Linked DNA regions of Neurospora crassa OR74A. The protein of the gene in region 1 interacts with the protein of each later gene in a pairwise test. Links are inferred from orthologs where the notes say so. Each region holds a gene or a part of one and is shown in the gene's direction. Other genes may lie near its edges. The genes, in order: NCU01929 and NCU04799.

Region 1 (16,328 bases):
AGCGAGTGGTCGACATCGGAGCTGCCCCTGGTTTGGGGTAACATGAAATGTAGAGATGGACCACCAAAACGTTGTGATCGGCGAGTCCCGAACTGTGGTTACCGTACACTGAGTGATACTGACAAAAAAGGAAGTGGCCGGTCGGGGTCTAGGGTTTTGGCTTGCCTGTTAGGGACGAGGACAGCGGCTAGATGCGATTGGGAAGGACTGGAGACCGGGGGAAGCAAGTATCTCTACCGTGACAGACTTGAAACCCACTCAGTGTGTTCAAGTTTGACAGGATGAGGTGACTTCCGACAACTGGAACCTAGTCCTCTAGACTGACAACACGTCACTGCACCTCGGAAGAGACAGCATGTCTCTCGTCGGCCGTCACATCGGCTAGGTTTCTTCGCCCCTCTGCTTTCTTTCCATCATATCATTACATATTGTAGAACTTCAACGCCTGACTTGGCAAAGATCCATGAGTCTGGTCATTCGACAACCCCGGGTCCACGACCCACCCTACGCCAGGCACGGCTGATGCTCGCTATCTTTTCTTCCTCCACTGAGCCAAAGAGGAGATAGTGTACACTACCATGTATGTTCCACTCCTCACATACGCTTCACGTTGCTGACCTGTTACCTGCGGGCGCGATACATCGAAGCCGAGACCCAAACTGTCGGTTCTACCCTGACCGGATGTTAGCTCAACCTTCCCGTATCTCCGCAATACCCACTGGTCCGTCAGTTTCTGACGATACAGCGTATTTTGGATGCGCCTATATTGGACGAGACCCCATTTCACACCCTCTGTTCCCCGGCTTTGGCCGTCCCTCTACGACTTGGGGTGAAGCTGGTCTGGCTCTTGACCATTCCCGACTCCCCTTCCCATAGTTGTACCGCGGCTTTCCATATACGGACCATGCGACAGGTACATTGGTGATATGCGAGCGACCCCGAAGATCCAAGAGCACATCTGTCGAAAGAAGCTAGTCACAAAATCTCGCAATCTGCATGTCAAAGCATTCCATCATGTCTAGGATGCGATCTTCCAGACTTACGAACCCAGTCATAACAAGACAAGCCTCCTTCCTCGGCGTCCGGTATCGTAGCGTTGCGGGCATCGTCACTTTCCATACGTGTCGCCTAGCGGATGGGTTCGGGCGGCTGAGAGCCCAGGGGGGGACGAAGTACTCCCCAAAGATCACCCCAAGGGGTAACCTGCTGTCTCGCTGTTTGACAGGCATGACCTATCACGTTGCTCAAATCTTCCTTGTTGACAGGTATCGCAACACATCGAATTCCTCGCGGAGCGATATAAAGTATATGCGGTGAAGAACCAAAGTGTTTGATCCATGAAACATGCAACCTGCAACGGGGCTCTTATCGAGATCGCCCCTTCGACTACTGCAAAACCAGGATCCTTTGGTTATCGCTCAATTTGACCTAGTACGACGCTATTGCTATGGCGGAGGCGCTTGTGGTTCGTCCGATCCTCGAAGAACTCTCTGATGTATGATGATCGAAGCTAGGATAGATCGATTTGATGGAACCCAGGTAGGTAGACACACTCGGCACACTTACGTACAGTGCAGCATTCTCACCTAGCCCCCCACACCAGGCTGAATACGTGGTCGATGAAAGCTCTTCGGGGACTTCATCACAGTTTCACATCACTTTCGTGGTCCTCTCCGCGCTTGTTCAGAGAGCTCGTGATTGAAGCATGTGGACGCGGTACCTGACCAGGCTTACTGGACCAGAATAAGGCCGTCTTCCGTGTTTCGCAGTGGTGTGAAGTGTCTTAGGATCTCCTTACTTCGTCTGCGCCCAAATTGTTGGTCCCCCGATATTCTACCGTTCCGTCAAATGGCTCAGCTTCTGCAGGCCTCCCAAGCGATATTACTACGGTGATTAGACGATATATCAGATGGAAGGACAACACTTGAGGAAGGCGTCAAGTCACCAAGGACAAATGCAGTGGCGCTCGTGGAAGCATCAAGCCATTCACGGGAAACAAAGTTACGGGGCTTCGAAACATGTCGACAGGGGAGATGTGCCGAACTGGGCTGCGCTTGGAAAAAAAGACACTCCGTGAGGATGAGGATGGGACAGCGGACGATCACATTGCACATGCCCAATCCTTGGATGGAAACTCGCATCCCGCTCCTTAGACGCAGCTGAATTTGACTTGAATATACATTCGTACCTGTAAGAGGCAAACATCTCCCTGCTAGGACAGGGTATAAAGGTAAACTTCAGAAGTCAGAGCGCTAACAAGCAAACTAGGGGTGCTGTGGTATCACCGAATATCTTGATCGACCGACTCATGTACTCGTTAGACCAGGTACGTGTGATGAAAAGGGATGAGTGTTTCAGCGAGACCACTTGATGTGACGTGTGGCTGCCTCTGTCTGCCTGCAAGATACAAGATAAAAAGCCAGAGGGTAGAGGACGGGATTGGAGAAAACAACTGGAGAAAACCGAAAATGGGAAATTGAAAGAGACAAGGAAAGCAAACAAGCGCAGTCTCTGCCATATCCTCGCCCACAGGTAACCACGTGAAAATATACCGACCACATTTGATCATCGACTTTTCCTCCCTACGTACCACAAATGCGCCGAGAAAGGGGGTCCCGTCCTCGCTCGGCCATTCGGCAACTATATCGACCGCCCAACGGACAAACACGATGCGCTCATGCAAGAACAACAATATTGGGTTGCTAACACCTTGTCGGCAAATCCCAGCGCTCTTGCTGTTCTGATTCCTGCTGCCCCGCAGCAGAGGAGCAGCTTCAAGCGTCATGCTGTCGTGGACCCAGCAAACACTTGACACAACTCAACTCTGCCCAAGTTTTAGGGTTCAAGACCCGGGAGGATCGATGCCGATGATCTGAAACTTGCACTCGGGTCCCAATAGTCAGGCAATCCTTGGCAGTAGTTGAAACCAGATCGGCAGAATGGAGCAAGACACGATGAAGGATATGAGCTGAGAATGCGAGGGTGTAAATGTAGCGAGAGACGAAGAGGGCAGCAAATACGAATCCTCGTGAAGACTGGTTGATTGAACCGATTTGAATAAGTGGAATTTAACCCAGCTCATCACCTCGTTCGTCGTTCTGGTGCTCTCCTCCCGGAGCCGCGTCCTGTTCCAAATCGTCGTAGCTTTCCCCCCCAATATCCCAACCTATCGACGACGGCTGAAGGAAAGGGTGGCTATCGTCATCTATTCATTCGCCGGCCCAAGTACCGTTAAACCTCATCTTTGGACCCCGGTCGAGCGATGCACATCCCCGCTACCGTACAACCCATCGTCGCTAACTGGCGTGACAGGCTCTGGTATCGAGTTGCTCGCTTTCCCGGCACCAGCGCCTGTACCCGAACCTCCTCCAACCCCCATGTAATCGTATGCCGACGATGAGTTGTAACTGTAGTTGTCATTGATGCTTTTCCTGTCGCTCGTGCTATTGTTGTGACCACTACCGTCAAATCCAGGGTGATATGGCTCGAATGACAATCTTTCATCATTATTCCCCACATTCGTCGTGTTCAACGTTGACGGTTGTACTCGCCGCATCGAAGACGCTGAAGAATCAGGCTGGATCGGATCCCTGAACGGGTCCTCTTCGTCACGATATGGCGTTTCCGCGTGAGACCTCGAAGGCCCCGCAGCGGCGGCGGAGAAAGAACCACCAGCTATAGACCTGGAAGAGATGGATTCGTACTTGGAGTCGCTCAAGCCCCAGTTATCATCAGACGAGGTAGCTGCCGCCTTGCCTTTCCCCCTACTGCTGCTGCTGGCGCCAACGCCGGCGCCCCGACCACTTCCGCTGCCGCTTCCACTCCCACTTCCACCTGCAGCCGCGCTACTACTTGCCAACCAGTCCTGGACGCCTTCATTTCTAGAATTACTCGTGCCCGACGCCGCCGGAGGTGGCCGGCTTTGCTCGTTCACTACAGGCGCCACCGAGCCTGGCCTGCTCATGCTCTCGGAGCCGGGGGAGCCCAAGCCTAGCTGCTTCTTGGCGTTCAGTACCGCGCGCTGGTGATGGTTCAGCGACTGCTGCAGTTGCTCGTTGGTGTCGATCAGGCTCTCCATCGTGTCGTTGTCGGGGGCGGGGTCCGTGGCGGACATGTACTCCTGGATACTGCGCGAGGCACTCGTGCACCGGTCCGCGAACTCTTTGATCAGGTCGTTGGAAAGGATTTCATGGGGTGGCGTGCAGGCGACTACTTGCTCGAGAAGTTTGGCGGAGGTGCGGGCTTCCTCAAGGCGGTTGGCGAGTTCGACGGGGTCTGGAAGCCGGGAGGTGTGCTGGGCGCGTTGGAAATATTCCTGCTGGTTCGGGAGCGACTGATGGTGTGATAAGTAGGGACTGTACTGTTGGGGTGGGGGTGGTGAAATGTGGTGCTTAGACGGTGTGGTTGAGTTAGTAGCCGAGTCGTGGTATCACTTTGAGCCTGCTACCGGATGTCCGTGGATGGAGGACAACTTACGCCGTAGACCCTGTATGCCTTTTCCTTCTCCCTTTTCCACATCTCGATAAGAAATTGCAGGTTCTCATCGTAGCCCTTTGTGTTTTCGAAGGCATCCAATGTCTCCATGAGCATCTGTCGAACATTGCCGTCCTTCCCTGACCTGAGCAGCTCTTTGGTGGTATCGGCAAACTTCTTATCCATGTTTCGCGTGAAGGTCGCACCCGGATTATCGGCAAGGATTCGTATGAGCATGATGGCGTTGTATTGCAATGAGGGTTTAGTCCAGTAGTCACGATGTAAGTATTTTCGAATCAGGCGGGCGCATTCTGCGGCGGCGGCCGGCGACGACTCGGCTGCCTCGACGATCGATGGTAGGAAAGCGACTTCGTCTCCCTGCTTCAAATCAGAAGTTGACCCTTGACATGTGCGGCTGTATATGTGCGCGTAGGAGCCTGGACCGGGGGCAGATCGGATTTGTTGTTCTCGAAGCCCCTGATCCTCTCTTCCCAGCCGGACATGCAGTTGGATTTGCGACTGACGGTGCGACTAGAAAAAACATACCGAATTGCCGCTATCAGACATGCAGAATTGTTTCTATCAGTGTAAACGGCCCATGTCAGCGGCTTGAGCTTTCCGGGAGACAGGCGTGTTTCAAAGAGGGGGGGGTTGAGGGAGCAGCCTACCACATAACGGGTTGCCGTTGCCTCGGGACCATCACCAGTCGGATCGGATGTCGTGTCGTCGCCATTTCCATTTCCACTTCCACTTCCTGCTATACAAGCAAAGGGAGGTCAGCTTCAGAACATAAGATAAGCGGAAAGGTCAAGTTGCGTTTGCTACCGCACCGATAATCGCAAACCGATCCCAAAAACGGTGGCTTGGTCGCGGAGCCAGCTTTCTGACCAGCGCTTACCATTGGAGAATGTTGGCTTCTTCTTGATGCTGTTTAGCATCTTATTCATGCTGAAGTTCTTCATCTTGCTTGTCATAATCGCGCCCAAGCTCGGGCGGTGTCTCGAGTGTAGAGGGAGGGCGTGGACGTTGAGGATTGTCTTAAACCGCGGTAATGTCTGCCTGATGTCTGGGCACGTAACGTGGCGGGCGCACAGGCGAAGAGTTGTGTTGTTGCCTGCTTGGTCGCGAAATTCATCAATTCGTCGAGAAATACGTGTACGGGAAAATGAGAGCTCTGACGGACGCGCAACTGAATGAATTTCGTGGTGAACTATCGAAGCAGATGATGCAATTGCTGGGTTCCCCGCGAGGCAGGTGAGTAAGAGAAGGCAGAGGATTATTGACGACTAACAGAGAGCGGGAGTCGAGGGGAAGGCAGGTAAGGAACAGTGCAGTGCCTCCACGCGGTAACAAGGGTCCAGGAAACGAGATCGGGGTTTACAAAGACAACAACGCGCGGCACTACATGCATGTAGGAGGGGTCCAGGGTCCAGTGATAGGTAGCTTGGGACATCTTAGGCTGTGAGTAGACCGTAGAGGAGTTCAATAACGGCCCGCTCCTGTCATCACCTACGCTACGTGTTTTCGGATCCATCCAGAAGTGGATGATAGGTATGTCGGCGTTTGAAACCAGCCATCGATGATGCCTGCCGTGCCTATTAAACCACGCTCTGGTAGCCTTCATCGTCCCCGAAGCCATTCGGGTAGTATTCGCTATATATGCAGTTGTAGTATCAATGGAGAATGTCGTTTCAGTGAGCTGCGCAATCTATGGTCGATCCAGAATGATGGGCGAGCTACTCAGTAGAGGTACTTATAACAGCCTCTTTAATCGCCCATCCAAGAGGTACTAGTACAAGCGGCTGCCCACCTTTCTGATGGAGACAGGGAGTGTCCTTTGATCTTGGCTGCTTGTGATTCAAGACTGTTTGGACCTTACCTCAAAGTGCGTACTTGGGGGGTGATCAACCAGAAAACAACAAGGCTCAGCACACTCGCCTGCCTCGAATACGTTGTAGTATAATAATCCAGGCTTTAAAATACTATCCAGCCTTGGACCACATCACATAAGAGCACACTGTCCTTCAGCCATGGGAAGTCAGACAGTGGATTTCACATATAAAAGCCTTCACACTGTAACCGAATGTCCAACCCCCTTACACTACACAACGATGAGGCGTCAGGCTACCTTTAATCACTCTGTCTTACAATGCCTCGCCAACAACGATGCCGCAAGCTCTGAGTCCCAACCAAGCGGCCGTCATTCCTCCTCTTCCTCATCAACAAGATCCTCCACGATCAAGTTGCCTCCCCTGCCCATTTTTTGAGCGATAGTAACTGACGCGGTAGGTTCAAAAACCTCCCTTGGCATCACGGACGCAATTCGGAACGCGTACTTGTGCTCATAATTTTCAGGCTTATCTGTGCTCTCTTCCACATCTCCCTTCTCCTCTTCGTCCTCAGGGTAGAGCAAGTCATAGCATTCGACAAATGCATAGACATCCTCCAGTGACGCGTCAGGGGCAAACTTCCGCGTGACTCTCCCCCTTCCGGACGACTGCGACATATTAAGCGCCAGACGGACCGCATCCTTTACCGAGACATCAGGCTCAGCGGCAATAGTCGTAGCACGCCATCTCCTCCACTGCTGGCGTAGCTTTTCCTTTCGCTCCGCTGCCTCAGCCTCTTCTCGTGCGCGCCTCTCCGCCTCGGCAGCAGCTGCTGCTGCCTCTCGCCGTTGCCGTGCTCGTTCTCTGTCAATAGCAAGCGACCGTTCATAAGCCGAATCCTGCTCAGATCGCAAGTTACGGGCCATATCCTGTGCCGCGCGCTCGGCGCGAACACTGTCAAGATCAGGCGCGTACTTTTCAATCGCTCCCCGGATCCCAGCAATGAAGACGGACGGAGAGACAGGCCCTGCAATACGCTTCACGATTCCCATCCGTGTGCTTCCCTCTTTCGGCGTGAGGCACACCAAGCATGAAAACGGAAACTTGGTGCACGTGTACTCCATGGAAACTTGATAAGCTTCAGAGTCCAGTACATTTCCTCCCCAGATTATGATGTTGTTGGCGGGATCGTTGATGAAGGCCACGACCTCGGGGTCGAGAAGCGTATCTTTGATGAATGAGTCGGTGTCATCGTGTTCTGGTGAAATCAGTATCGTCAACAAGAACTTGAGATCTTTCTTTGCGGTGTCCAAAGCTTGGGCATGTCCGCCGTCAAAGAAGACCAGATCATGCGTGCCATAATACTCCTCAAATTCCCGTTTAAATCGCCCAGCCGTCTCTTTGGGAAGCAAGCTCCGCCGAGATTTTCGGAATGATGCTGTTAAAGCATGGGGCCGCAGAGACTGCGGAATAAAGGACAGTATGTAGAGTATAGGCCGAAACAGACTGGCAAAGACTCGTAAAACCATCCGGAAAGGCGACAAGAGGAATGAAATCAGTGATGGGGCTTGGTATGTAACGGGCCTCGGGGGCACCACACGCGGGGCGGGCGGTGTTCGGTTCGCGCGGTGTAGCCCATGCTGGTGCGCGATATCCGACCAGACGGTTTCGTGTAATGTCTCATGCCTACCGGCAACCCTAGGAACTTGGTTCTGTGCTGCTTGGGCTTCGGCAACCAGGTCGGGCCCTTCGCCGTCGAAGAACTTGGCTATTGCTATCTGCGCCAGACGTCAGTCCCAGCACGTGCATGCAGGCATCGAAAAGCCGGGGGGCCTCTAGCCGACAATTACCTGAACATTCCACTGCGACCGTTCAAGGAACGGAATAGCATCCGTGATCTCCTGCCCTGTAACATCTGTATATTGCTGCAAGGCCTGCTGTTGTTCCGGGGACAGCTGACCGATGTCCACCGCATTGTCGCCTGACATTGTATGCAGTTCGGCGGTCGCGTGGATAGCTGGAGTATGAGTAGAATATCAAACCGTCACTTGCTGAATCGTGGACGGAAGGGGTCACTTGAAGAAAGGCTGGTTGCTCGACCGCGCATCAAACGGGGCAGATTTCAAACAAGCTGGCCTCGGTATGCTCGCGATGCTTGGTTGTCGAAAAAGCGACTTGACACATATAGCTCTGATCGTGATCGCGACTGGAAATTGAGTGAATCACGATGGAGGATTAGAGAAGAGAGAGAGAGAAAGAAAGAAAGAAAGAGAAGGGAAGAAGAAGCGGGATGTAGACCAAGGAGGAAGAGGTCGAATGGTGAACCTTGATGGTGTACAGTACCGGGCTGTAGCGACCTACAAGTACATACATATGTCAAATGTCTGCGCGTTGAAGCTGAAGCGTGAAGATACCACGTCACTTAGATGAGGTCAGCGGCCTCGGTTATGTGCCTAACGCAGGTCCCTGGGCAGCGATGCACAAATCTGATAGTCGCATATCGGCAGCTGTCCGCGGTGGAACCTTCTCCCAGAGGTCGTAGGTAGGTCCCGTCGGGAATGGAGGAGCCGGGTGGAACTGAGGGCGGGCAACCGGGCACCTACTGCTACGACTTGGTGGAAGTGGAAACAGGGTCGCCAAGATGGTGGGAGTGGTGGGGTGGGAGCGATGGCACACTCGTCGATGCGACCGGGTGCGAGTTCCCTTCCTGTGTGGTGTCTGCCCTGGACTCCCGCCCGGCACGCAGCTGTGCCCTGTCCGCAGCCCAGCCCGCCGCCGCGTCGCAGTTCCTCAGCTTTCTTTCCCGTCCGTCGCTGACACTGGAGAAAGTGAGTGGGCACTCGTGGGCAGTAGCTACCGCTAAGGTTCCCGTCGTCACGGTCACGCATCGCCGTTTTTGCTCCGCAAAGTGCTGTAGCGAATTGTGCTCGCAAAACCATCCGAATCTGACCCCCCCTTGGACTCGATTCGTCAAGTCAGCGCAGCCAACAGGACCTCCATCACCCTCAAAGCAGCCCCAGGATTGCATACGACATCTGCCAACCACCAGTCCCCTTTGTCCCTCCGCGAGTGGCGCATTGGATCTCCAACTGGTCCATCGCGTGCCATCCGATCCGATCATATACGTCCCTCCTGTCCATCGCCAACCTCGTCAGCGTATCGTCGACGTATAACCCGAAATCTCGAGCTTTCCGCTGCTACCGCTTGCTGCCACGCAACTCTGCGCCGGCGCCTTCGCCGTTCCCTATGGGTGTCGGCTTGTCCGAAATATGGGAGAGATCCGTGAGGGTGAAGAAGTATATCCACCTCTCCGTGCTCGCTAGATGTGCTTTTGCTAAGCTGCTCTGCTGCAGGCGTTGTAAAATCGGCCTCGGGCTCGTTCATCCCATTTGCTAGTCCAATACAATAATTCACCCGTCTACAACACCATGGCCGCAACGCGATATAATTCGGGCGATCTCCGAAGGCAAGTCGGGTCGCCGCGTGCAAAGAACCGCGGTATGTCCTCAACGTAGCCCGGATCTCGATCTTCGTTCTATTGCAGCCCGTCCGGCGTGTCCCGCTAACTGGTTTGCTCCCGAAGACACCAAGGAAACACTCTGCCGCAATGTTGTTATCTACGGACATTGCCGATGGGAGGACTCTGGATGTACCTTCAACCATGACCAGAACAAGGCATCCGTCTCACAGACCGACCTGTAAGTTTTATCCTAACTCTGTTTACATCCGCGTGCTGTGTCAGCGGGGAGTTATGCTCCTGGGTTTTGGAATGGGATTGCAACGTCATGGCGAGAATATGCTTGTCTGGTGTTTTTTATTTTATTTCATTTTCCGTTGTGTCGGTATGTCTTGTCTATTTCTGACTTTGGTTATAGCAACTCAAATCGAAGAGTCTTCAATGTCGAATCCCCATCCTTTACGCCAGCTAACCAGCAGCAATCAGCTGGAAAGAAGTCCACCTTTTCCTCCCAAGCTGCGAGTGCTGCCCCATTCACCCCAAGGGGAGTTGGCAGTAAGTGTCCCAGGGCGGTTCTGAGACCTATATGGATGTTCAGGCAATGTTTAACTCAACCATAGCATCCACGCCGACTCTACAGCAAGCAAATGATTCGACCATATTCAACCCAGCGGCTATTAGGGAATTTACCCCGCAAAACTACGATGTTGGCAACACGGTAAGTCATATGTGGAAGGCTGGCAGATGGCCTTTGCTCACAGTCGTCGGCAGATATCGCAGAATGGGGCACAACACGTCACTCAGGACGGTGGTCTTTACAGCGACCCTTTTTCGATAAGTTCACTGGGTCAAACAATGCCGCCGCAAGGCCAATACAACCCATACGCAAACGACCCAAACAATCTGGCCGGTGCTGGGGCAGGATTATATCAGCCCGCGGGTTTTGGCAATGGGCTGGTCCATCCACCCAACTACCATCTCTACCAACCACCATCGGAGCTGTATCGTCCAAGCCTTCAACCTTATCAGCGAACCACGTACGACTTCTTCATCCCAAAGGATAGGCGAGAGAACTTGCAGAAGAAACTGTTCCATATGCAGCAATTACTACCAAGTGAGTCCATAGCTTCTTCAGTGGAGATCGGTCGCTAACCGCAGCAGATTCCGGGCTTCCTAATCTTGATCGCTGGCACTCGCTCTTCCCACTCGATACAAAGGCTACGAGGAACTCCACTTGCTTTGGCTATCCTAGTTGGATGTACAAAGCACAGAACAACAAGAATGGGAGACACTTCGCCTTGAGACGTATCGAAGGTAATGACATGCCTAGTTTCTGGCTTTGAGAATATAAGTTCACTAACTCGGCTCTGGCAGGTTACCGGTTGACCAACGAAAAGGCCATTCTCAACGTCACTAAGGAGTGGAAAAAGATCATCAACGCAAACATTGTCACCGTACACGAAGCATTTACCACCGAATTCTTTGGCGACAGTTCTCTGATCTTCGTGTATGACTTTCACCCTCTTTCCGAAACACTCTACGACCATCATTTTCCACCAAACAACAGCCACAACAGATTACGGAATACGAACAAGATTCCCGAGAACCTTTTATGGAGCTATGTGTGCCAAATAGCGAACGCGCTGTTGGCCATCCACAATGCCAAGCTGGCCGCCCGCTGTCTGGAGTTGAGCAAGATCATCTGGGAAAACAACCGCATTCGGCTTGCGGCGTGCTCAATCCTCGATGTACTACATCATGACAGCCCCAATCGCAAAACTATTGAGGAGCTGCAACAAGAGGATTTTGTCAAGTTTGGCAGAATTATTCTGGCTCTGGCCACGAACACCCCGACGCTCAATTTCAACAACATTGACGCTGCTCTGGCTACCATTGTGCCGCGCTATTCGACACAGTTGAGGGGAGTATTGGAATGGCTCATTAAGCCTTCTGCTCCAGGGGAAACCAAGACGGTTGAGACCCTACTTGGCGGAATCACAACACACCTCGCCAATTTTGCCAATTTTGTCATGCAGGAGTCCGATGAGAAAGAGTTCCATCTTATGAGGGAATTGGAGAATGGCAGGATTGCCCGTCTCATGTTCAAACTGTCCGTTGTTAACGAGCGGGGCGATTCTTGTGGGGTGCACAACTGGTCGGAAACTGGAGAGCGCCTCCTCCTAAAACTATTCAGGGATTATGTCTTCCACCAAGTGGATGCCGATGGAAAGGCTCGGCTCGACACGAATCACTACCTCAATTGCTTGAGTAAGCTCGACGCCAGCTCCGAAGAACAGATCTTGCTCACCAGTCGCGACAATGCCACGGTTTTCGTCGTCAGCTACAGGAGTATACGACAGATGCTGGACCGTGCGTATGGCGAGCTTGGAAAGGAAAGTAAACCGAGCGCGACGGGGGCTACCATCTGAATATAGAGTCTTTCGACTTGCGCTTTCAGCCAATGGCTCCACATGTTCGGTGACGGCCTTTGCCATGGCGAGGATATGGATCGCAGCTCAAATGAAGGCTGAACGACAATAATGGACGTAGCAGCCCGACCAAAGCGAGCTTGACCTACCAGGAAAGCGAAGAGGGGGGATTGAGAAGAAGAAATGTGGACTAAGTGGTGGAAAGTGGTTAACAGCGATGAGCAGATCATGTTAGATAGCGAACTAGAAAACAGACTCAGAACACGTGCCCAATTCCGTCCCAGAGCAGGATGTGGGCTGAAAACAACTGGCATATGTATGCGGTGAGCCGAACTATTCGTTATCTTCCCAAGCGTTCTCATTCCACTAGGAGATACTGAATGAGAAAACTTGCCGCTGCTCGAGAGTTCATGGAGCCAAGGGACGTTCTTGAACAGGCATATGTTGCCTTCTGGCTTGATTTCCAGTTAGATTCCCCCACTCGTCAATAACGGCGTTGGCTGGACGTTTACCATAACTCAGGGCAACCAGCTGCATGTGTGTTTCTTCTCGATGTAGCCAACCCCTGTTCTTACAGTCCCTCTGGTGGGTATCGTTGGTAGCTGGGGCCGACTTGTGTTCCTTCATGCTCGACACTGGGTGTTTGCTCACCCAACTCAGCAATGTTTCCCTTGTTGCACCGTCCTATCCTTGAGTGGGGCGGATATCATAACATATTGTTAGACTTCTCTCAACCTTTCAGGTTTCTGTCCTGGTGTTCCTTCTCACTGTCCTGCCCCGTTTTCCTTCGTCAAAATTGTCGTCTCGTCCAATTGCGGTATCGCTCGGTTTACGAGCATGACGGGATGGCGTTCAGATCCCCAAGTTGGTATAATGTTTCGAAAATGATGCAGTTTTACTTTGTCCAGACGAGCATTCCCTTCTGCTCAAGCTTCTTCCTCCTGCTGAGCGAAGGGGTTCGCAATCACCTCGCTTCCGTCGACGGGGCTGATCACAACGAGGAGCGTACCGCGCGCAACAACAAGTCCTAGAGGACGGGTGGTTTCGTTGCCTTCTTCGTCTATTATAGGTGCGTGGGTTAGGACCAACTGGGGCCAAAGAGAGCGAGGTGCACTGGGCAGAGAAAGGCAAGGGAGGCAACAGCTTACCTCTCACAGCTTCCTGCACATCATCCAAAACCAAGTTCATAAGCGCATCATATCCCTTGAGCGTACCGGTAACTGTTGTGTCGAAGACAAGAGAAGGGTTTGTGTCAGCTTTGTAGGGAGCTTTGTGGGGAGCTTTAAGGGAGCTCGTTGAGGGGACTCGGGAAACAGCCATGTCACGACGTACCTTCACGTCCACCGTTGAACTTGACAGTGATGCGCTGGTCCATATACTTCTTGAGGTCGAGGATGTTTTCCTTCTTAGGGCGCTCACCGCGGTCACCGCCCTGAGCACCACCGCCTCCCTGACCTCCACCGGCGCCGGAGCCAGAACCACCTGCTCCTCCACGGTTACCTCCGCGACCGCCCCGGTAGCCGCCACCACGGCCTCCCCTATTTCCTCTATCGGCCATTGTTCTGTTTCTTTGTGAAGTTGATTGAGTATGCGCCGTGTATTGCGCTGGTGGGTATGGAAGAAGAGAGGAAGTCGTCGAAACCGAACCGATTGGCGATTGTCGAGTGTTGATTTGTGGTGTTGGTAATGTCGTTCGGTGCTGCGATTGTTGTCGTCAGGCTGGCTGGCGCTATGGGTTGCGATGGATGTCGTGGGGTTGGTCAGTCGTCCCGTCTGGGTCAGTCGCGTTTTTGGCGTCTGCATCCGCTGGCGGGAGTGACGCCTAGCTGAGTTTCTTCCACAGCTGTGCTTTGCCAAGCACCCCGCTGTGGGGCTGCCATCCGGCTGTAAGTGCGGGTAGTGTGGATCCTTGAGGTCCAGGTAGCATTCCCCAGACTGGCTGACGACAGGAGCCGTGAATCGCTACACTACACTTCGTAGATTGAGTGGCCCAAGCTTTCTTTTTTAGCTTCTCAACTTCCCTTCCCTTCTCTTCCAGTCCAACCACAACCGGCTTGATCGAAACCTCGAAGTTTCTTAATCCTGCCTTCGTTCCTCAGACTCTTCTTCGTGACGTCCAGCAGTGTAAAACAATGCGTGTCATGAGTACCAATTTGATGTGCTGGACGGCTCACAGACACGGCCCGCCAGCTCATCCACTACACTACACTTTTGTTCCATGAAAGGTCGCCCTGGTATGTTTATTTCTTTCTCTTCGACTTCCCACCATGTCCGTCAACTCTGCAGTGCCGTAGGGTTTTCATGTCGTGTGATGAGCTTGTCAATATCCCAACACATTAATCATCTGCTACGACCTTTTAACATGGTCGGACGGCTGAGGAGGGAATACTTCGCCTGGCCATCGTTCAAGTTCTGTCTTTGGTTCTGAGCAACGGGAACAACTGCCAAACTACCTAGTAGCGAAAACATGGTGCGTTGCAGCAGCCGCCTACCATCTTGGCTCTCAATGCAGCGGCGAAGAAACTTGTGTCCAAGACTGTCAGGCATGTGTGCCAAGAATCAAGAAGCGCCGTCTTTGAAATTCAGGTGCTTGACAAGAACTCAATTTCTCTCGGCAACATCCGAGAGCCATTGAACCAAGACGCACGCTCACCGGGCCAAGAGTATCCGATCGAGTTGGGTTCCATGTGACGAGGTGCGATTGGGAGTTCACAAGTAGGTCCTACCAAACTCCAAGCTTGCCCAAGGAGCAAAACGGGCCTTAGTTTCCAGCCGCTCGAAAATCGGTGTTACTACCTACATATTCCATTGACGGATGCCTACACTACTTAACGACTCGACCCCTCTATCCACTGGCTAGAAGTGTCCCTGACTCGTTGCCCCGGCTGTTATCAAACTTCGAGCAAGGGAAGCATATCCTCATTGACCTCACAATTTGCTCTCGACTATCAGACCTCCAGCTATCCCACTGCCAAACGGTTACGGCAAGTTTGGGTTCCTAATACAGGTACAGGTCGCATCGCGCATGGTTCTGTACGCGCCTACCTATATTGGGCTTCCCTCACCGGCTTGAATCGGCACCACTATACTACAGCAGTTCACCGCAGGCTCGCCCTGTTGATGCGGGACAGTCTCCTCGAGTCGCCTACCCTGCCACGGCCAGGCTAACATCTGTAAAGTCGATACGAATAGTCCTCGAATAGAGACAAAACCCGGCCAAGATATAGAATATCAGGGAGTGACCCAACCCCATAGTGTCCACTCGGAGCAGTTTCTCCTTTGCTTGGTTCTGTTGTGACGCCGCAAGATGCCGGCAGGCGTACACAACGGGAAATCGGGGGATGGTTCCCCTGGGCCCGGCCCCTCTAAGCGCAAGAGAGACCTAGACGACAATGGCATCCCCGGCCTTACCCGCCCTGACCGCATACCCCAACCACGGCCGCCACAGTCAGGTATGTTACAACGTGAAGAGGACAAATTCCCATTGAGCCAATACTTGACGGGGTTGCGCCATGACTTGGGCTCTTGCACTCTCAATGAAGTCCCCGTTGTCTTACTGATTATCGCTAGGTAACACTACACCTATCAACTATCTTTCCGCTTCCGGAATCAAGACATCAAGCCTCGAACTTCTTCGTGGGGATAACTGCGCTTTCAACAAGGTCATATCCCTTATAAGCGACTATGAAGGTATGAAGAGTACTCTGTAGTACAGGCTCCAGAGCTAAAGTTATTCAAGGAGTTCTCAGTCGACATGAAAGCCTGGCTGCAAACTTAGGGGCCAAGCTCACCGCACCTCGTTTACTACGAGCTATGGAGAGTCTTTTCGAAGGTGAAATTACTGTTTATGCCAAGACTTCTTCCGGAATGGATCAGCCATATAAGCCTAGCTGGCTGGACATCCTCGATTTTGCGGCTGCTAACCCTAGCGAGTTCAATCTCACCACAATAACCAGTCGTGGCCGGGTCTGTCGCTTCTCCATGAAAAACGTCGACGTCGAAATCACCGAGGATGACTGGCGGCTTATCAGGTCCGGTGCTTTGGACCGTTTTAGCCTAGTTCCGCCCAAACCGTTGGAAGAGGATGACGGAATCGAGTTGGTCACGCTAGATATAGTTGAGGACCGAGTTCACAGGATC
Region 2 (16,609 bases), on another chromosome or scaffold:
CAGCAAGGACGACGACGGGTTTGGACACACCGCCGGAGACGGATGATAGCGAGGGGCCGGGGCCGGGGTCGAGTGCGGGGAGTGACGATGGGGAGTCGATAGAAGGGGGCGAGAAGGAGGAGAAGTTTATTAATGAGGCGTTGGACAATGTTGAACTGGATTGAGATGGATGGATCACACGAAAAAGGAGGGCGGGGGATGTGAACGGTTTTCGTTTGTAGCAAGCTTAGGCTATGTCAGTAAGCAGGCGGGTGTTTACCAAGGAGTCTTGATGTAGTTCTTTCTTCTTCTTCTTCGATACCTTGATGGTATTAAAGAGGTTATGGTCGGTCAATCGGTCGGTCGGTCGGTCGGTCGGGCTAGCCCTTTCACTTTTTTTTATTCGTAGAAAAACCATTTTTCTCATCCAACCTTCTTTGTCTTATTCTTGTATTTCGATTTTTTTTTGATTTTTTTTTACCAACCAAAAGAAAAATGTAAGAAGGAAAAGAAGAAGAAAAAGGGGAGTTCAAGAAAGGATTTCCAAAAACTGAATCGTGGTGTCGGTGGTTATGTCAGACGTGCGACGAAATGTTATAACCCAATTGGGGAGTGTGGTGGTGGTGGTGGTGGTGGTGGTGGTGACCCAACAAATGAGAGCTGACTTACTTTCCAATAAATATATGAGATGGGGTCATGGTGATCAATGTGGCCGGCCCATGGCTCGGACTTCGAGTCCTCTCGGATATTTATATATATATATATATACGCATCCTGGGTAGATAAGTATGTAATGTAGAGCCATACACATGATTTGTCACTACTATGTACACCACTTTACTTGCCCCCTCCTTTCGGTCGCGAAGGTTTTAAATGGACGTTGTGGTGGTTGGGTTGTCAATTGTTTGTTTGTCTGAGCATGCGCAGCGCAGGGAACTAACAGGACGATTGTCTCTGTCGCGATAGAGTAAGTACACAGGCTATATGCGGCACAGCTTGATGATGTGCCTGTCTGTCGTCCCTCTGTACTACCCAGTTATGTATGTGCGTGAAGTAGATGTTAATCATTGCTTTGGGCTTTAACTACAACGATGGAGAAAGATGATCGAATATACACTTAATCAAGTAGGAAGTAGCAATCAGTCAATTTGGCTTCAAGTGAATGAATGAATTATCAGCTGCTTTAATGCTTTTAGTCTCAAACAAGACTTGAGACAAGAAAACCGTCTGAACGCCAAACCTAACAACATCCCATCCCATTCAATCCCATCTTGTCAACCGCAGATCCTCACGCTCTTCTGTACTATTCAACCCCATAACCGCAGCCCTAAATGATTTGGCCTCCTTAACTCAAATTAAACCCAGCCCCACTCTTCACCGCATACAGCAGTTTCTCCTTCAGTCTCCCCTTACTCCGATACTGCGGCAGCTTGAGCAAATTCACACACGTACTCGCACTCGGCAACCGGTCCTCATCCTGCCCGGCATCCCTGATCGTGAAATAGGGCCTCAACTGACCAAACCCCAACAGCGGCGCTCTCGGCGTTGACGTCACATATTTCAGGACCTCCCTCCTCTCCTCGTCCTTCAGCTCATGCATCACCTCCCAAAAGATCTGAATGGTGGGGTGCTCCTCCCCATCAAGACCGATCTGGTACACCCCGTTGTAGTGCGTGTTGCGACGGAGATCTTCAACGTCGATTTCGGAGCTGTCGCCGCCGACGAGGCGTTGGAGCTCGAGTTGGTTGAACATGGAGAGCCAGCTGGGGTCGATGACGGAGCCTAAACCGCGCAGGAAAGCGCGCGTTTGCGGGTAGGGTTGGCGGACGAGGCGGTGGCGGGCAACGTAGGAGATGTAGAGGGGGCGGTTCTCGTTGGTGACGGGCGTCGAGTCGCCGTGGGGGATTAGCGGGCGGATGATGGTGCGGGTGGGTTCGCCGGGTGAGTTGATGGGGTCGGTAATGGTGAAGTCGAGAGCTAGGTCGGTTTGCACGTCGCCCGTGTAGTTTTTGAGGCTTAGCATGCCTTGGTAGAGCTCCTCGTCGAGTTCGCGCAGGTCGTTGATGTTGGCGCGGTAGCCGGCGGTGGTGGAGGAGGATGATGCTAGGGGGTTGCTACCGCCGCCTGGGGTGTCGTTGGCGGTGGCCCATTTGAGGAGGAAGAAGCCGGCGAAGACGATGTCGATCAGGATCCCCTCGTACATGCATTTGCCGATAATTCGCCCCAGGAATTCGTACATTTTGAGCACCTGTTCTACAGCACGCTGTGTTTCTTCCGGTTCTCCTACCCGCATGTTCCTGATCCGATCGATAAGGGTGGGATTTGGGTAGTATGCGTTCTTGCTGTTCGTGACAAAGAGTTCGGTGTGGGTAAATGCCTCTGTAGTTACGCTGTCAAGGAACTCTTTGGTGACGCCGCCGCCATCGATACCCGCCTCCTGCATTCCAAATTCGTCCTCAAACGTAACCTGGATCGGCTCTTTGAGTCCTTCGCCCAACTCCCAAAGCTGTTTCATGGCATCCTCAAAAACTCGACCTCTTCGGATCCGAGCCGTGTGTTTACCCAGGGGGTGCTGGGCACCAAAGCCATTGCGTAGCATATGAGCTCTCCACATGTCTGGATCGCCATCTCCTCCACGTCTGCGCTGCTTATCCAGTTGGATGAACTGTCGGAAGATTTGAACGCGCGTCTCAAATGGGATAGCAAAAGGCATATTGCGCAGAATCTCAAGCTTCGGGGTGATTGCAGACAATAAGTGGTTGCGGGCGGCCTTCCTATTCTTCTGCCTGAGCCTCTCAAGATGTGCGTAGTGAGACCATTCCTGTTGATCATCCTCGGAGCTGTCGGCACCATCTTCGGTATTGCTCAGCTCGTGTTGTCTCTGCTCTTCAAGAACCACAGCCGCAAGGAACCCTTCCATGTCGAACTTGGATGTCATCAGCCAGTGGCCTTCGGGCAAAAATGGTCGTCTCGAGTCCCGTTCGTAAAGCATCTTCATGGCTGTCGTTGCTAAGTCTCTGAGCGTAGTGAAATCAACTCCGGCAGGAGGAAGGAAGCTATCATTTTTGGAAGCTTGACCGCCATCGCCTCTAGGGCGATTCGAGTTGGGCGTCTCGGCCCAAGGGCTGTTTGTCAGTAGCTCCTTAGCATTGTAGTACATTGTGAAACTGAGGTGCTTGAGAAATTGTGTCAAGCGCTTCAGTTCGCTCAGCGACATTCCCGCCAGACGTAGTCGAGAGGAAGGGCCGCCGAAGTTAGGATGGGGGTTTAAAGTGCTGAAGAAATCATCGTCGTCCATGAGCCGCAAAACGAAGATGTACGATTCAAGGAACAGAAGAACAGTTTTCCATTCTCGATGCCACACCGCCTCGGCAGCTGGTGATGACGGTTTGCGTCGAAGAAAGTCTAGCGTGGAGTCCTGGCTGGACGCAATCTCTGAGAACACGGACGTCTTTTGTGTAGCACTCCAGAAGTACTTGGCCGTTGGAATACGGCCTTGGGCAGTGGAGATGTCAGCCACATAGAGGAACATGCGAATGTCCTCGCTAAAAGCAGGAAAGCAGTTGATCAAAGTCAGGATGAAACCAGCGAGGTAACTGGCGTCGTCATCCGCCGAAGTAGAGGTTTCCCCGGTAGTTCTAAGGTTGTTAGCGCTTGAAATGAGCAGCAGGCGAAGGAACACTTACGCGGTAAAAGCGCTTAGAAGGTCTTGGATGGCTCCTTTATCAACTAGCGACTGAAGCTGTTGTCGCACAAAGGGATGCAGAACGTCGGATCCATCTTGCTCGGCTTCCGCAAAGTAACCCGTGTCCTTTGGTCGAGCAACGGCAAAACCCGCCCTTATCTGGGCTGAGCACAGAGGGAAGAGTGATTCTAGGGTCTTGATGAAAAGAAGCCTTGAGCTTCGTTGTTCCTTCGCCCCATTGATCGCAATGTAGTGTGCGATAAGCCAGAGGACAGCGTTCGGGTCATGCTTTGAAAGCTTATGCGAGAGGTCAATGATATAATTTGACAGCCGATCTAGGTCTATGTTGGCGGCTAGTCTCGTAATCAGGTCCGAGCATCGCGCCGGGCCGGGCTGTGTCAGAAAAGAAACAACCAAGTTTTGGTAGGCTGTATGTTTGAAGTCTACATAAAAACGGACGGCCACAGTTAGTCAAAGAAGCTTTCTTGTACGATGGGGAGAATCCCAACAAATGGTACACACCTAAATCGTGGGGTACATCAAGCGGTGCAACCACCAGACTGCAAATGAGCTCTTGGACAGAAGAGGGCAAACCAGTCTCCTGGCATAACCTTCCGAGTACCTTGTACCACTCTCCCAGAACTTGTCCAAACGTCTCGAAGTCCGACGTCTTGGTCCTGATCGCATCAAGGGCCCGTAGGAAAAGAGCCACCTGAGTCTGCTCGTTTCCGAGATCACACCTATCGAGAAGCCATCTCTACATTAGCATGCTGGACAGTTGTGGAATAATGACTCGGGATCCAAAATCATGAACTGCTCACCTTGTCAGAGCAGCAAGTAAAATCCGCCTTAGTTTGCCCAGTTTGTCCCACCCCAAGAATACCAAGCTAAAGGCAGAGAAGTCTGTCTGGAGAAGATCTTCGGTAACCAAAGCTAGCCTGTGACGGTCTTGTACGTTGAAAGCTTGGAAGGCGGCAAACACCAGAGGTAATGCCTGCGCTGACCTCTGCCCAGCATCAACGGGTTGCGCTTCGTACAGACGGTCGATAGCCTGGCGTTGTTCATCTCGTAGGGTTCGTCGCACACGATGTCCCCTCCATGTTCGTTGTATTCGTTGCGCCGCTCTGAGCCGGTCTCGTTCCTGTTGCCTTTGCTGACGTTCTGCTTGGGCATGCGCTACTGTTTTGGAAGCTCCCGTCGCTGAACCGGCGCCCCATGAGGTGCTGGTGAAGGGGTTGCTTGTCCGTTGACCGCTGAGGTTGACATTTCGACCTTTCCTAGAGCTACCAGTAAAGGTGGGAAACATGGCTAGTGACTCGAGTGTTTGGTTTGATATTCGAGATTCCCCAACACTAACACGGAAGATCGGAGGGCGGACGAGTGGCGAGAGGAGGGAAGCTTAGGCGTGGAATTGCGCAGGTTGATATTATATCGAATGAATATTATATATTTTTGAAAGTGTTCTGATGCGGTGTAGATATTCGGACTTGAACTAGGAGGTCGTACGAGCCGGGATCTCCGCGCTGGAGGTGTTGTCTTGCAGTTGGTCGTCGTGAACGGTGTGGTTGATGTCCCCGTGTTGGACTGCAGGAGGTTGCTCATGGAGATGGCACGGCAGTGATGGCAGTGATGACGAGACGATGGCCGGCTACCTGGCCGTTGTTGGGTTGGAAGCAACATCCCCGCTGTTTTTGCGTACCTTTCAGGTGTGTGCCCACTGTTATGGTACCTAAATAGCTAGCGGAGTGCTACGGCACTTGCACCTGTCTAGGTACTGCACTAACAAATCATCACTAATCCAGACAATGGTAGGCACCAGTAGAGGTAGCTGTTCCAGAAAGTTCAGTCGCTGCCACCAACCCGAATCGATGTCTTGATAAGCTCGATCAACCAACTGAAGTGACATGTATCTCAGCGCTAGCGACACATTGTTTGGGACCTAGAGTAGAGGCTTGCTACAACACCAGCGCGGATTGAATCCTACGACGAGCTTCGGAACGTTAACGTCGGCGCTGAGCATCAAAAGGTTTCTGGTGGTAGATCTCATGATTGAGTGTCGAGGTAGGTACCTCAGCAGGAATCCAGGTACAGCGAGGTGCCTTGGGAGATGACCCCTCTTTCCTTTGTCTGTGTTATCTTATCGCCCGGGGCAGGCAGGCTGGGCATCGATGACATCCATTGAAACATGTGAAGCATGGTACATAGAGGTACCTCTAGGTAACAAGACTGGTGGTATCTCGAGCACATTGCTCGTCCGGGCGAATGAAGAGTTATGTAAGGATTCTATACCTGAAGAGAATCCTGAATGGTTGTTGTCGTCCATCAACTACAACAGGATGGTGCCTTTTTGATGTCCAATTCAATGACGATGAATACGGGTTCTATGGCCCATGCCCGCCCCGGCCTACTCACAAACACGAAGGCCAGAGGTCAAACAAGCCCTGGGCTGGCAAGGCTAGTCTGGGACACAGCCAAGCAGCGTCGTCCGTCAGATGCCTGCTCCCGCCTTGGTTCCTTCCACTTCACTTGACTTCTTGATTGAGTGATTGTGGTGTCCGCCGTGCCAATTGCTGCGCTAACGGTGGTGGAGGTAGTCTTGATATATGAATATCTTCATACGAGTTCCTTCCTTTTCCAGATGAACCCAGCAGCAACTCGGGTGGGACTGGTTCGGGTATTTGTATCAAGCCGATCTTGACATCTTGTTCTTTTCCATGTTAGACTTGACCCGGCACAGGGACCAATCACCACAATGGGACCAACCTCAACAGACAGCAGCCGCCATCAGGACCAAAACCTTTTCGTCGAAATGTTAGGATGTGTCATTACGCTCGAACTGTTCGAGTACCCAAGATGCCCTGTTCCAGACTTTGGTTTTTGCCGCTGGCTAACCAGTATATGACTGCAACATCCTGGCAGGTCATCCGGCCAAGTTGCCCCATCCAAGGTTCCGTGCGCGGCTTTGCCAACAATGTCTTTTTTGCAGGTGAAATGGACTGCGAATGCTGATACTCAGGACATCCGTTTTACTTCTCTATTTTTGTCTGGTGTGAAATATGCCCGTGGCACGAATGCAGCAGCAATGCCGTTTGCTAGCGGACTTCCAGAAAGGTAAGGCGGTCGTTAGCATTGTTCCATGGTGATGGGACAGATGCCAGCGACCCAGTGCCAAAATCCGGCACACCGCTGTAACCTATTGCATCTTCAACTCCAACCGCCAACTGAGATGGAATGTCCCGTGATTCAATACAAGTGAATCTCGCCGGTTTATACCAAATAGGTACGGCTGAAACGCAGGGTTTCATAACAACCCTCCAGGGTTCATGAATAAGTGCCCATGTCTGCCTGTTGTTGGCATGAGTCGTCGTCAGCCATGGTCGACCACAGTACCGTAAGTATGCTTGATCTCAGGTGGTGGCCCGGGAGCAAGTGGAAGTGCCAGGCAAAGTTGGAAGTCGCACGTTTCGCTGGATCTCCGGTCTGGTCTGCAGTCTGCACAGGTGGATGGATGCCTTTATGCGAGAATTCCTGGCGGGTCCTATCGATAAATCAAGGTTTTGCAGCCCATGCCACCCCGATACCCGCATGCCCTGACCGCCCTAGCCGCACTTCACCGGCTACGAGGGGCGCGGCACAGTGCGCAACCACAAGATGCGTGGGCGGGAAAGAAAAAAAATCTGACCTCCGCATTAAGACGTGAGCCATCCGGGCGTCGTTGCTTCTTGCCCTCTTTCTCCTCCTCTTCTTTCTTCAGCGGACCTCACGCCCTTTATCCTCAGGAAACTCCTCCAAACCGAAGCCAGAAAGAAGTCAGATAAGTACGAACATTTACCCTCTCGGTCTCTGTTCTATCTACTTCTTGTCTGTGACAAACAAAACCTCACCAAAAAAATTTGAAAATCGCCGAAAAAAGAGAAATCCCCCCCATCCATACAAAACCCCATAAAACCCACCAAATCCACCCACCTTTTTTGGAAGACATTTACCCAAGTCTCCAAGTCCACCAGTCTTCCTCTCCCTCTCCCGAATCTCGTCCTTGACCAGTCGAGTTCATCCTCCCTCTTTGTCAATACCGTCGCCCGTTCTCCGCGCCGGTTTTACTTGCTCCACACAACTCTAGATCTCGGGTACGTTGCTCGTCGCACTATCAATTCCTCCTGCCTTGCCATCGTCGTTGTCGTCGTCGCCGTGGCCGCCGCCAGTGCCGCCCGCCCAACGTCACGTCAATTGAGACTTGTCCTCTCCTCCTCCTTTCCGCTGTCGTCGTCGGTCGACACATCGGTTACCCCTCGGCGCCTTGATCAGAGACACAGACACACACAAAAGGATACGGACGCTGACAGTTCCATCCATCATACAGAATCTACAGTTTAACCAGCAAAAATGGCTGCCACTTCTACCGCCGCTGTCGACCAGCTCGCCGCTGACCTCGGCAACACCAGCCTCGACAACAAGGCCGCTGCCCCGGCCCCCATCGACACCAGCGCTGTCCCCGAGGCCCAGGCCGAGGGTGCTGAGGCTGCTCCTACCCCCACTGCTGCCCCTCACCCCCAGGCTTCCGCCTCTCTCTATGTCGGCGAGCTTGACCCCTCCGTCACCGAGGCCATGCTCTTCGAGCTCTTCTCCCAGATCGGCTCTGTCGCCTCCATTCGTGTCTGCCGCGATGCTGTCACCCGTCGCTCCCTCGGCTATGCCTACGTCAACTACAACACCACCGCTGACGGCGAGAAGGCTCTTGAGGAGCTCAACTACACCCTGATCAAGGGCCGCCCTTGCCGCATCATGTGGTCCCAGCGTGACCCCGCCCTCCGCAAGACCGGTGCCGGCAACATCTTCATCAAGAACCTCGACGCTGCCATTGATAACAAGGCTCTTCACGACACCTTTGCTGCTTTCGGCAACATCCTTTCCTGCAAGGTTGCCCAGGATGAGCACGGTAACTCCAAGGGCTACGGTTTCGTCCACTACGAGACCGATGAGGCTGCCTCCCAGGCCATCAAGCACGTCAACGGCATGCTTTTGAACGAGAAGAAGGTCTACGTTGGCCACCACATTCCCAAGAAGGACCGCCAGAGCAAGTTCGAGGAGATGAAGGCCAACTTCACCAACGTTTATGTCAAGAACATTAACAACGAGGTCACCGACGAGGAGTTCCGTGAGCTCTTCGCCAAGTTCGGTGAGGTCACTTCTTCCTCCCTTGCCCGTGACCAGGAGGGCAAGTCCCGTGGCTTCGGTTTCGTCAACTTCACCACCCACGAGGCTGCTGCCCAGGCTGTTGATGAGCTCAACGGCAAGGACTTCCGTGGCCAGGACCTCTACGTCGGCCGTGCCCAGAAGAAGCACGAGCGCGAGGAGGAGCTCCGCAAGTCCTACGAGGCTGCCCGCCTCGAGAAGGCCAACAAGTACCAGGGTGTCAACCTGTACATCAAGAACCTCGGCGATGATGTCGATGACGACAAGCTCCGTGCCATGTTCTCTGAGTATGGCCCCATCACCTCCGCCAAGGTCATGCGCGATTCTCTGATCGAGGGCTCCGAGGAGAAGGATGAGAAGGACAAGGAGAACAAGAAGGAGGGTGAGACCAAGGAGGAGGAGCAGAATGAGGGCTCTGAGAAGAAGACTGAGAAGAAGGGTGACCGCAAGCTCGGCAAGAGCAAGGGCTTCGGCTTCGTTTGCTTTAGCAACCCCGATGATGCCACCAAGGCCGTCACTGAGATGAACCAGCGCATGGTCGATGGCAAGCCCCTCTACGTCGCTCTTGCCCAGCGCAAGGATGTCCGCAAGAGCCAGCTTGAGGCCAGCATCCAGGCTCGCAACCAGCTCCGCATGCAGCAGGCCGCTGCCCAGGCTGGTATGCCCCAGCAGTACATGCAGGCTCCTGTCTACTACGCTGGTCAGCAGCCTGGTTTCATGCCCGCCCCCGGCGGTCGTGGCGTCCCCTTCCCCCAGGGTGGTATCGTCCCCGGCGTTCAGGGTGGTCGCCCTGGCCAGTACCCCTACCAGCAGGGTGGCCGCGGTGGCGTCCCTCCCCAGCAGATGCCCCCTATGGGTTACCCCATCAACCAGTTCGGCCCTGGTGCTTTCCCTCCTAACACCCCTCAGTACATGGCTGCTATGGGCCAGGTTGGTGCTCTTGGTGGTGGCCGTGGCGGTCCCGCTGGCCGGGGTCCTCAGGGCATCCCCGCCGGTATTCCCCAGGGTCTCCAGGGCGGCCCTGCCGTTCCCGGCTACCCCCCTGCCGGTCGTCCCCAGAACGGTGGCGGTCGCGGCACTCCTCGCGGCAACGCTAACTTTATGGCTGCCGGCCGTGGTGCCTCCCCCATTCCTGGCGCTCCTGCCGACCTCAGCGCTGGCTCTTTCCTCCAGGCTCAGCTCGCTACCACTCAGGATCCTCAGGCCCAGAAGCAGATCATTGGCGAGAACCTCTTCCCCAAGATCCAGGCCATCCAGCCCGCTCTTGCTGGCAAGATCACCGGCATGCTCCTCGAGATGGACAACGCTGAGCTGATCAACCTGTAAGTCTACATGTCTATTCCTGACTCTTCTACATATCGCTAACCTGTCTCTCTGTAGGTTCGAGGATGACAACGCTCTTAACGTCAAGGTCCAGGAGGCTCTTGCCGTGTATGACGAGTACCTCAAGACTCAGGGCCAGCAGCCCACCCAGCAGCCCGCTGAGGCCAACGGCGAGCAGCCCAAGGCTGAGGAGCAGAAGCCGGAGGAGCAGAAGGCTTAAATGTGCCCTGAGCGATGGATGATTTCCCACGCACCGGCATAGGTGTTTCTCAGATGTTTCTTCATGTTCTCCATTCAACTCTCTAGGGTCGATCTCGCAACGGGGGGTCCGGAAAAGTTTATTTGATACCACACTTCGCTTGACGACAATTATGATTTAATCTCTCCCGATCCCATGCAACCCCATCACGGTGCGATGGCCGAATTGGCAGTGGATGGATTTTAAAAAGTATCTCCAGCAGGTGGGGTGCAGTTTGTTCCTTGTGTGCATGACGACTTTTACAAGCAGTATCTCGATATGATATTGATTCAAAGTCATCCTCATGTATTGACAGGCTTGCCTTTTCTTTCTCTCCTTGTGATGGAGCGTGGTGTCGCATCATACAGGGTTGGCCATCTGAAGGGGTATGATTATGTTCCTTATGTTTTATCAACGATTTGGCGTTTACGGTTAGGGAGGGAAAACTGGCCAAAAGTGATTATCTGCAATTGGTCCGGAATGTCGGGTTTCTTCAGCCGCGTTTTCACAGAAGGGGAGGTTAAGCTCGGGCATCTTAGGGAACACATTCTTTTCGCTCTCGAGACAGTAACAGAGCGAATGTTTTAGAACCCGGTCATGTAACAAGAGTGGGAAGGAAAGGGATATAGACCAGCATCTTCATTGTCCAGATTGCCCATGAGAAATGGGGGTAATGGGACTTCTTATGGGGTTGAATCCCGGATGAATGGCAGAAGGAGGATCGAAAATTGCTCAGCTAGAGGGTAGAGATAAGCCAATAGATGCTATCAAGTTGATATCAGTGAATTCTTGATTGTGATGCTGGGTAAGCGGTACGTGGCTTCTGGTTGCGGTTACAGTCCATCCCTTGAGCTTGGATGTTGTTCCAGGCCATATTTTATACTGATCGACAGCTTTGAGTCTTCATGTGCTGTCGTCACTGACCTCGGAGTGATGAAACGAACAACGAGTGTCAAAGAAGAAGCAAGACAATACGAAGTAATCCCAACAGAGCCGCCAACGAGATATAGGTACACCAATTTGAACGCCATCATTCCATATCGACGAATTCAAATGGTTATGGTTTAAAATAGCATCCGTTCGTCACAGAAATCACAACAACTGAGGCAACAAGGATGAGTTCAGCTCGTAACCTACTACCCAGCTAAAATCTCATTAGGATCTATTTACCCACCTCAAGAAAAGAGTACTTCTTAATACCCATCATCAACCTCATCGATTCCCCTCTTCCTTCGCCTTTTCCTCCTCCTTCCACCTCTCTGTCCTCTCCCTATCCATCCTCTCCCACTCCTCCCAGAATTTCTCATCCTCATAATAACTAGGCGGCAAATCCTCTCGGTTTGTGCCCCACCCATCCTTGCCCAAACTTTCTTCCGGTCCAACCACCAACTCCAACAACCCGCCCTGTTCAAAGAACTCATGCGTGATCCAATTCTTGGTGTATTTCTTCCCATTCAACTTGGCAGACTGGATATAAACCGGTTTCCCACCGTTCCTGCCTTGCATTTCAGCATCGAAATTGACGGTTCTGATCACCGCCCATTTTGCTTCCTTTTTTTTCTCCGAGTAGAGGTAGTAGTCACGAGAAGGAGAAGGAGAGGACGATGATGCTTTAAGGTCCATCCCGGCCCTCACCTTGACCTCTTTGAAAAACGGCGGGACAATCAAGTACACGTCCTGCCCCGCAACGGGGAAAACACCCAGTCCCATGCCCCACGTGGTGAAGGCCCCCATGGCACAATCGTCGTTTCCCGGGATGCCGTTGACGCTGGCGTTGAACATCTGTGGTATATAGTTCCGCAGCCACTTGGAACTCAGGCCCGGACGACCGGCGTAGTGGAACTGAAACACGGTCAGGAACGATTGTTCGTTGCCCATGTAGGCGATGCCGCTTGAATGGTAGTATTCCAATCGCTTGACGAACGTGTCGGCCCCGCCCATGAGTCGGATCAGCGTCGACATGGACTGCGGCGCGAAAAAGGAGTAGAGCCACGGTGACCCTTCGTAGACGTCCAGCGCCGTGTCGTAGTAGCACGAGTGCTGGTTTTGGATGGGACTGCAGGTGCGCGCGGGGTGGTACCGGAAGGTGCCGGCAAGTGTGCGTGGTTGGAGGAAGCCGACAAAGGGCGATTGGATGGTGTAGCCTTTTGGTACCTGGGAGGAGGAGACGTTTTGGCCGGAGAAGTAGGGGGTGTCTTCGGATTGGGTGGTGTGGTCATCGCGGAAGAGGTCCTTTGCGGAAGGGTTCCAGTAGTTGCGCCAGTTGGCGCCGCGGTGGTGGTATTTGGTGATGTCGGCGGTGAGGGAGGTCCAGGGGGTTGAGATGTTGGGGCGGTAAGAGGAGGAGTCTGCGACTTCTGAAGACGTAGAAGAAGCACCGAGGAGAGAGGGGGACTTGGATAGACCCTGGGATAGGAGGGAGATGCAAAAGTCGTTGTAGGCGTACTCGACGCCACGAGAGATGGAGCGCGAGGCTGGGCCGGTGCCGTTCGTGTCCACGTCGTTCTGGGGAATGTAGCCGCGATCGTGCCAGGAGACGAGGTTGCCGCGGCCGGAGAGACCCCAGTTTCGGGGCTCGATTTCGGCGTCGGAGAGGACGGCTTCGTAGGCTGTCTTCCAGTCGATGTCGGCTGTGAGACCCTTGACGAAGGCGTCGGCGATGACTACGTCCGCGTTAGAACCGCCTTGGGTGTAGCCTTTGCAAAAGGACATGCGACAGTCAGGCAGTTTGCCTTCGTGTCTGTAGATGTCAATCAAGGCCCTGATCATCTCGGTTTGTGCCTTTGGGTCGATGACTGTTAGAAGGGGGTGTTGAGCTCTGAATGAATCCCAGATGCAGTAGAACCTACGCAACGTTAGCATCTTTCTGTTCCCCCTTTCCTGGTTGCCAGACTTACGAGTCAAAATACGGCTCGCTCGAATTCCACAACGGGTTTTCCCCCGTATAATTTTGCGGACTCAACAACGTCCTATACAGTCCACTCCAAAAAGTAGTCTGCAACTCCTCACTGGTCCCATTCGCATCCACCCTCACCACATCCAACTTCTCCCTCCACGCCTCTCTTGCATCCCTTTCAACCCTCTCAAAGTCCCAATCCTCCATCTCCCTCTCCGCATTCTCACACGCCTTATCCACGGACATAAACGACACACCCACTCTCGCCAGAATCGAGTCCTTCATCTCTTCGTCAGGCTTCTCAAACTGGATCCAAGCACCCGCCGACCCCCACCCGACGCCTTCAAGAAGCTGTTTCTCGTCCGTAGCTTTATTCGACTCGAACGTCCCTGTCTTTCTGATCTTGGCACCCTTGAAATCCGCGCAGAAATAAGCGTGGTAATGCCCCGATCCAAAAGAAGGGCCGTACCGCCCGTCACCCATGATCCGGCCAGTTTCGGGGTCAACTTTGATGTTACCCCTGGAGCGACTGTTCATGAGGTCGACCAGGTCTACCAAGATAAGTGGACTATAAGGCGCCACGCCCTTGGCGAAGGGCACCGCCTCTGTGCCGGGGAAGGAAAAGCGGTAGAGAACGGAGTGGTGGGTAGTCGTCATCTCGGCCCTGACGCCATTGGTGATGTTCACGGTGAAGTACCCTGGTGAAGCATAGACGGAATCAGGGACGCGGTTGAGCGGTCGATCAGAAAGGGAGAAGTCGCATTTGGTGTAGTCGTCGTCTACACAGCCCGGATGCACAAAGAGCGGGAAGTTTCCCAGAGAGGGCTGGCCGCCCGTGCCGGAGTCGTGCATGTGCGAGAAGCCGGTGATGGGGTTGTCGTCGGACACGAAGCCGGCGGCGTTCTCGGCGGGCGAGGCGGTGTCAGCCACGGCTTTGGCCATGCCGTAGGGCAGCGTGGCACCGGGGAAGACGTGGCCGCCGTTGGTAGTGCCGATGAGGGGGTCAATGAATCGCAGGAAGTCATTGACATTGTGGTTTTTGACCGCCCCATAGGATGGGCTTGAGCTGGAGTGTTTGCCATAGGAACCAGCGATGTCGGGTGAGAAAGGAGAGAAGAGGAAGAAGATGGTGATGGTGAATAAGACGGCGAAGAGAAAAGCTCTTCTTTTTCGTAGAACACTGGCAAGATAAACGGGTAGTTTAGCTGCCGCTTGGCGGTACGGTGAGTCGTTATTCATCGCCATGGTTCCTGACCTCAGCCGTAGTTGAGGTGAGAGATACGCTTCGCGTGGCTATCTCTCTTCTAAATGGTGGTTGTCTGAAGCTCTCGCATGCTATGTATGTGGCCTGTTAGTTATTGACAGCCATTAGGTTGGCAGCGTTTCAGACATAAACATAATCTGTTCCCTTGCTTGGATATCGAGACATCAAAGTCAAAGATCATAGTCAAAACATCAACATACACGAGGATAACCAGGGTCCGGAACCCCTGAAGAGACAAGACAACCCATGGCGTCGAAGTTAAGTCCGGGGTTGCTAACTGATCCACTATCAATCAGCCTCTTCGGGACATGGGCCACATTGTGCTAAAATGATAATTTGGGCACATTGAATAAAGTGGCGTTCTTGTCAGGAGTGTCAAGTTGAATGGGGGGGAAGAGGAGAAGCTGAGGTGGGAATTGGTCGCCAAGACGATACTAAGACCTTTACCGTGCCGGCGTCCGATCGGGAACAGGGGCATTAGCCACTGACAGGTATGCTATTGTCCAATAAGGAAGCAGGATAGTGGCTTGAAATGGCTAAGGCTTGTCGGTGTTACAGGGCCATGCCTTCAAGTTTTGGATGTCCAAAGATGGAAGTTCTCATCGCTGGCCTTCGAACTGACTCTAGACATGCCAAAGTCGAAGGGAAAGAGGAATGTACATGGAACTTTCGTCAGGCCTGCCCAATCGAGAAGTTAAGAGAACCTCTGCTTGATGTTCACCGCTGATGATTTCATTTTGGAAAAATCGTCATTGTCGTGGTGGTATTCTTCAAGGCAGAGTCGGTCCGGTGCCTGACCCACGAGAAAATGATATCGAACCAAGAACCCTTAATATCGGAATGTTCATATGGCCAATATAGGCATCCTTCGTGAACTCTTTCGGTAGGTAGTTCGTAGCGTGGCCAATATGTAGACGGTACCGCCTCTTTACCCATTTTCGTTTTATCCATATAGCTTACCTAGGTGGTACCTCTACCTTCTCTCACTTGCCGCCCACTTACAATTCGTCACATTCTTCAGATATTTTCCACCTTCTGCGTTTTGCCTGTGAATACGTCAATACTTCAACCATGGCGCATTATTTTTGGAGACCTTCACAATGAATAGAGTGGACAGCTGTATCATATCACGCGGTACCACCCCAGCCATCCATAACTGCCGTGAAATGATCCCCTCCTGGACACGACCTGATGTGTCCGCCAGCTCTACATCCCAAAATCTGTGGCCCAGCATATCGCAAGTTCATCATGACCGCGATCAAACTGATTAGCGGTCTACATCCACTGCCCTTATAACGTTGGGGAACGCTGGAGCAGGGACCCCTGTGCGGAACGGTACGAGGATGATAGAGTGCCAGCAGATCGAGTGGTGATGCTATGCATTTATCAGCTCTTTGTGCCGGGGAACATGATGTTTTGGACGGACCACATGGTTCGTATTGAGTATGGAGAATCCGTACTATAGATCATGACTTCGGATGATGATACCGAGATTGTCAAGTGCCTCCAACAGATTCTGTCGTCAACGGATGGGTTAGGGTTGAAGTCTTGCGTCGATCAGATCTCAGAGTGCTTCGGTATGTACGAGGCAATGGTAAGTGAGACTTTTCCTTGACCGTTTGGTCTACTCCGAGGATTCCTGGGTTCGTACGTATCGGGATTTAACGGTTGTCATGGAACAGGTCCTCGTGGGAAAGGGCCTCTCGAAATCCATGATGTTGAGGGACCGAAAGCTTCATCTGCAAGATTTGATATATTAGTAATATAAGGCAGAGAGTATACCAGCGTTGCCGCTTCTCAGTCTTCGAGATGTTTATTTATAGTATCGAAGAGTTGTCGTGAACATGGTGGACGACTCCTGAATGACATCCCTGACGTCACTTGGACAAGAAGGGTTAGGGTTCTGTGTACGATAAGGGAATCCGGTAAGCCGTCAAGGTGCCTGCCGGACCACGGGAAAGCTCCGCCCGAAGTGTCTCCAAAGTCCAAGCTGAGCTCGAAAAGATCTCCATTCCACAGACCGGGAGCTGG

What was found.
Region 2: the proteins of NCU01929 (region 1) and NCU04799 interact in binary tests that used the Saccharomyces cerevisiae proteins (3 or more experiments, as listed by UniProt). The link is inferred for Neurospora crassa OR74A from reciprocal best matches to the Saccharomyces cerevisiae genes PAN3 and PAB1.

The regions. Positions count from the first base shown.
Region 1 is NC_026501.1:1,980,571-1,996,898, reverse strand, and holds NCU01929 (PAB-dependent poly(A)-specific ribonuclease subunit pan-3), read left to right. Parts: upstream 1-9,008; 5' UTR 9,009-9,598; intron 9,599-9,655; 5' UTR 9,656-9,730; coding exon 9,731-9,800; intron 9,801-9,885; coding exon 9,886-10,000; intron 10,001-10,177; coding exon 10,178-10,314; intron 10,315-10,379; coding exon 10,380-10,477; intron 10,478-10,530; coding exon 10,531-10,873; intron 10,874-10,920; coding exon 10,921-11,073; intron 11,074-11,133; coding exon 11,134-12,188; 3' UTR 12,189-12,692; downstream 12,693-16,328. Other genes in the region: NCU01927 (hypothetical protein), read right to left, coding at 3,239-4,333, 4,477-4,851, 5,020-5,052, 5,142-5,230, 5,372-5,447; NCU01928 (UBX domain-containing protein), read right to left, coding at 6,674-8,080, 8,153-8,290; NCU01930 (U6 snRNP-associated protein Lsm7), read right to left, coding at 13,115-13,248, 13,337-13,408, 13,521-13,746; NCU01931 (hypothetical protein), read left to right, coding at 15,496-15,640, 15,759-15,878, 15,928-16,328.
Region 2 is NC_026506.1:857,478-874,086, reverse strand, and holds NCU04799 (polyadenylate-binding protein), read left to right. Parts: upstream 1-7,377; 5' UTR 7,378-7,791; intron 7,792-8,024; 5' UTR 8,025-8,047; coding exon 8,048-10,179; intron 10,180-10,237; coding exon 10,238-10,400; 3' UTR 10,401-11,201; downstream 11,202-16,609. Other genes in the region: csy (chalcone synthase), read left to right, coding at 1-164; NCU04800 (E3 ubiquitin-protein ligase), read right to left, coding at 1,325-3,617, 3,666-4,107, 4,187-4,404, 4,486-4,970; NCU04798 (alpha-1,2-mannosidase subfamily), read right to left, coding at 11,631-13,263, 13,316-14,559. UniProt on the Saccharomyces cerevisiae protein: Binds the poly(A) tail of mRNA. Appears to be an important mediator of the multiple roles of the poly(A) tail in mRNA biogenesis, stability and translation.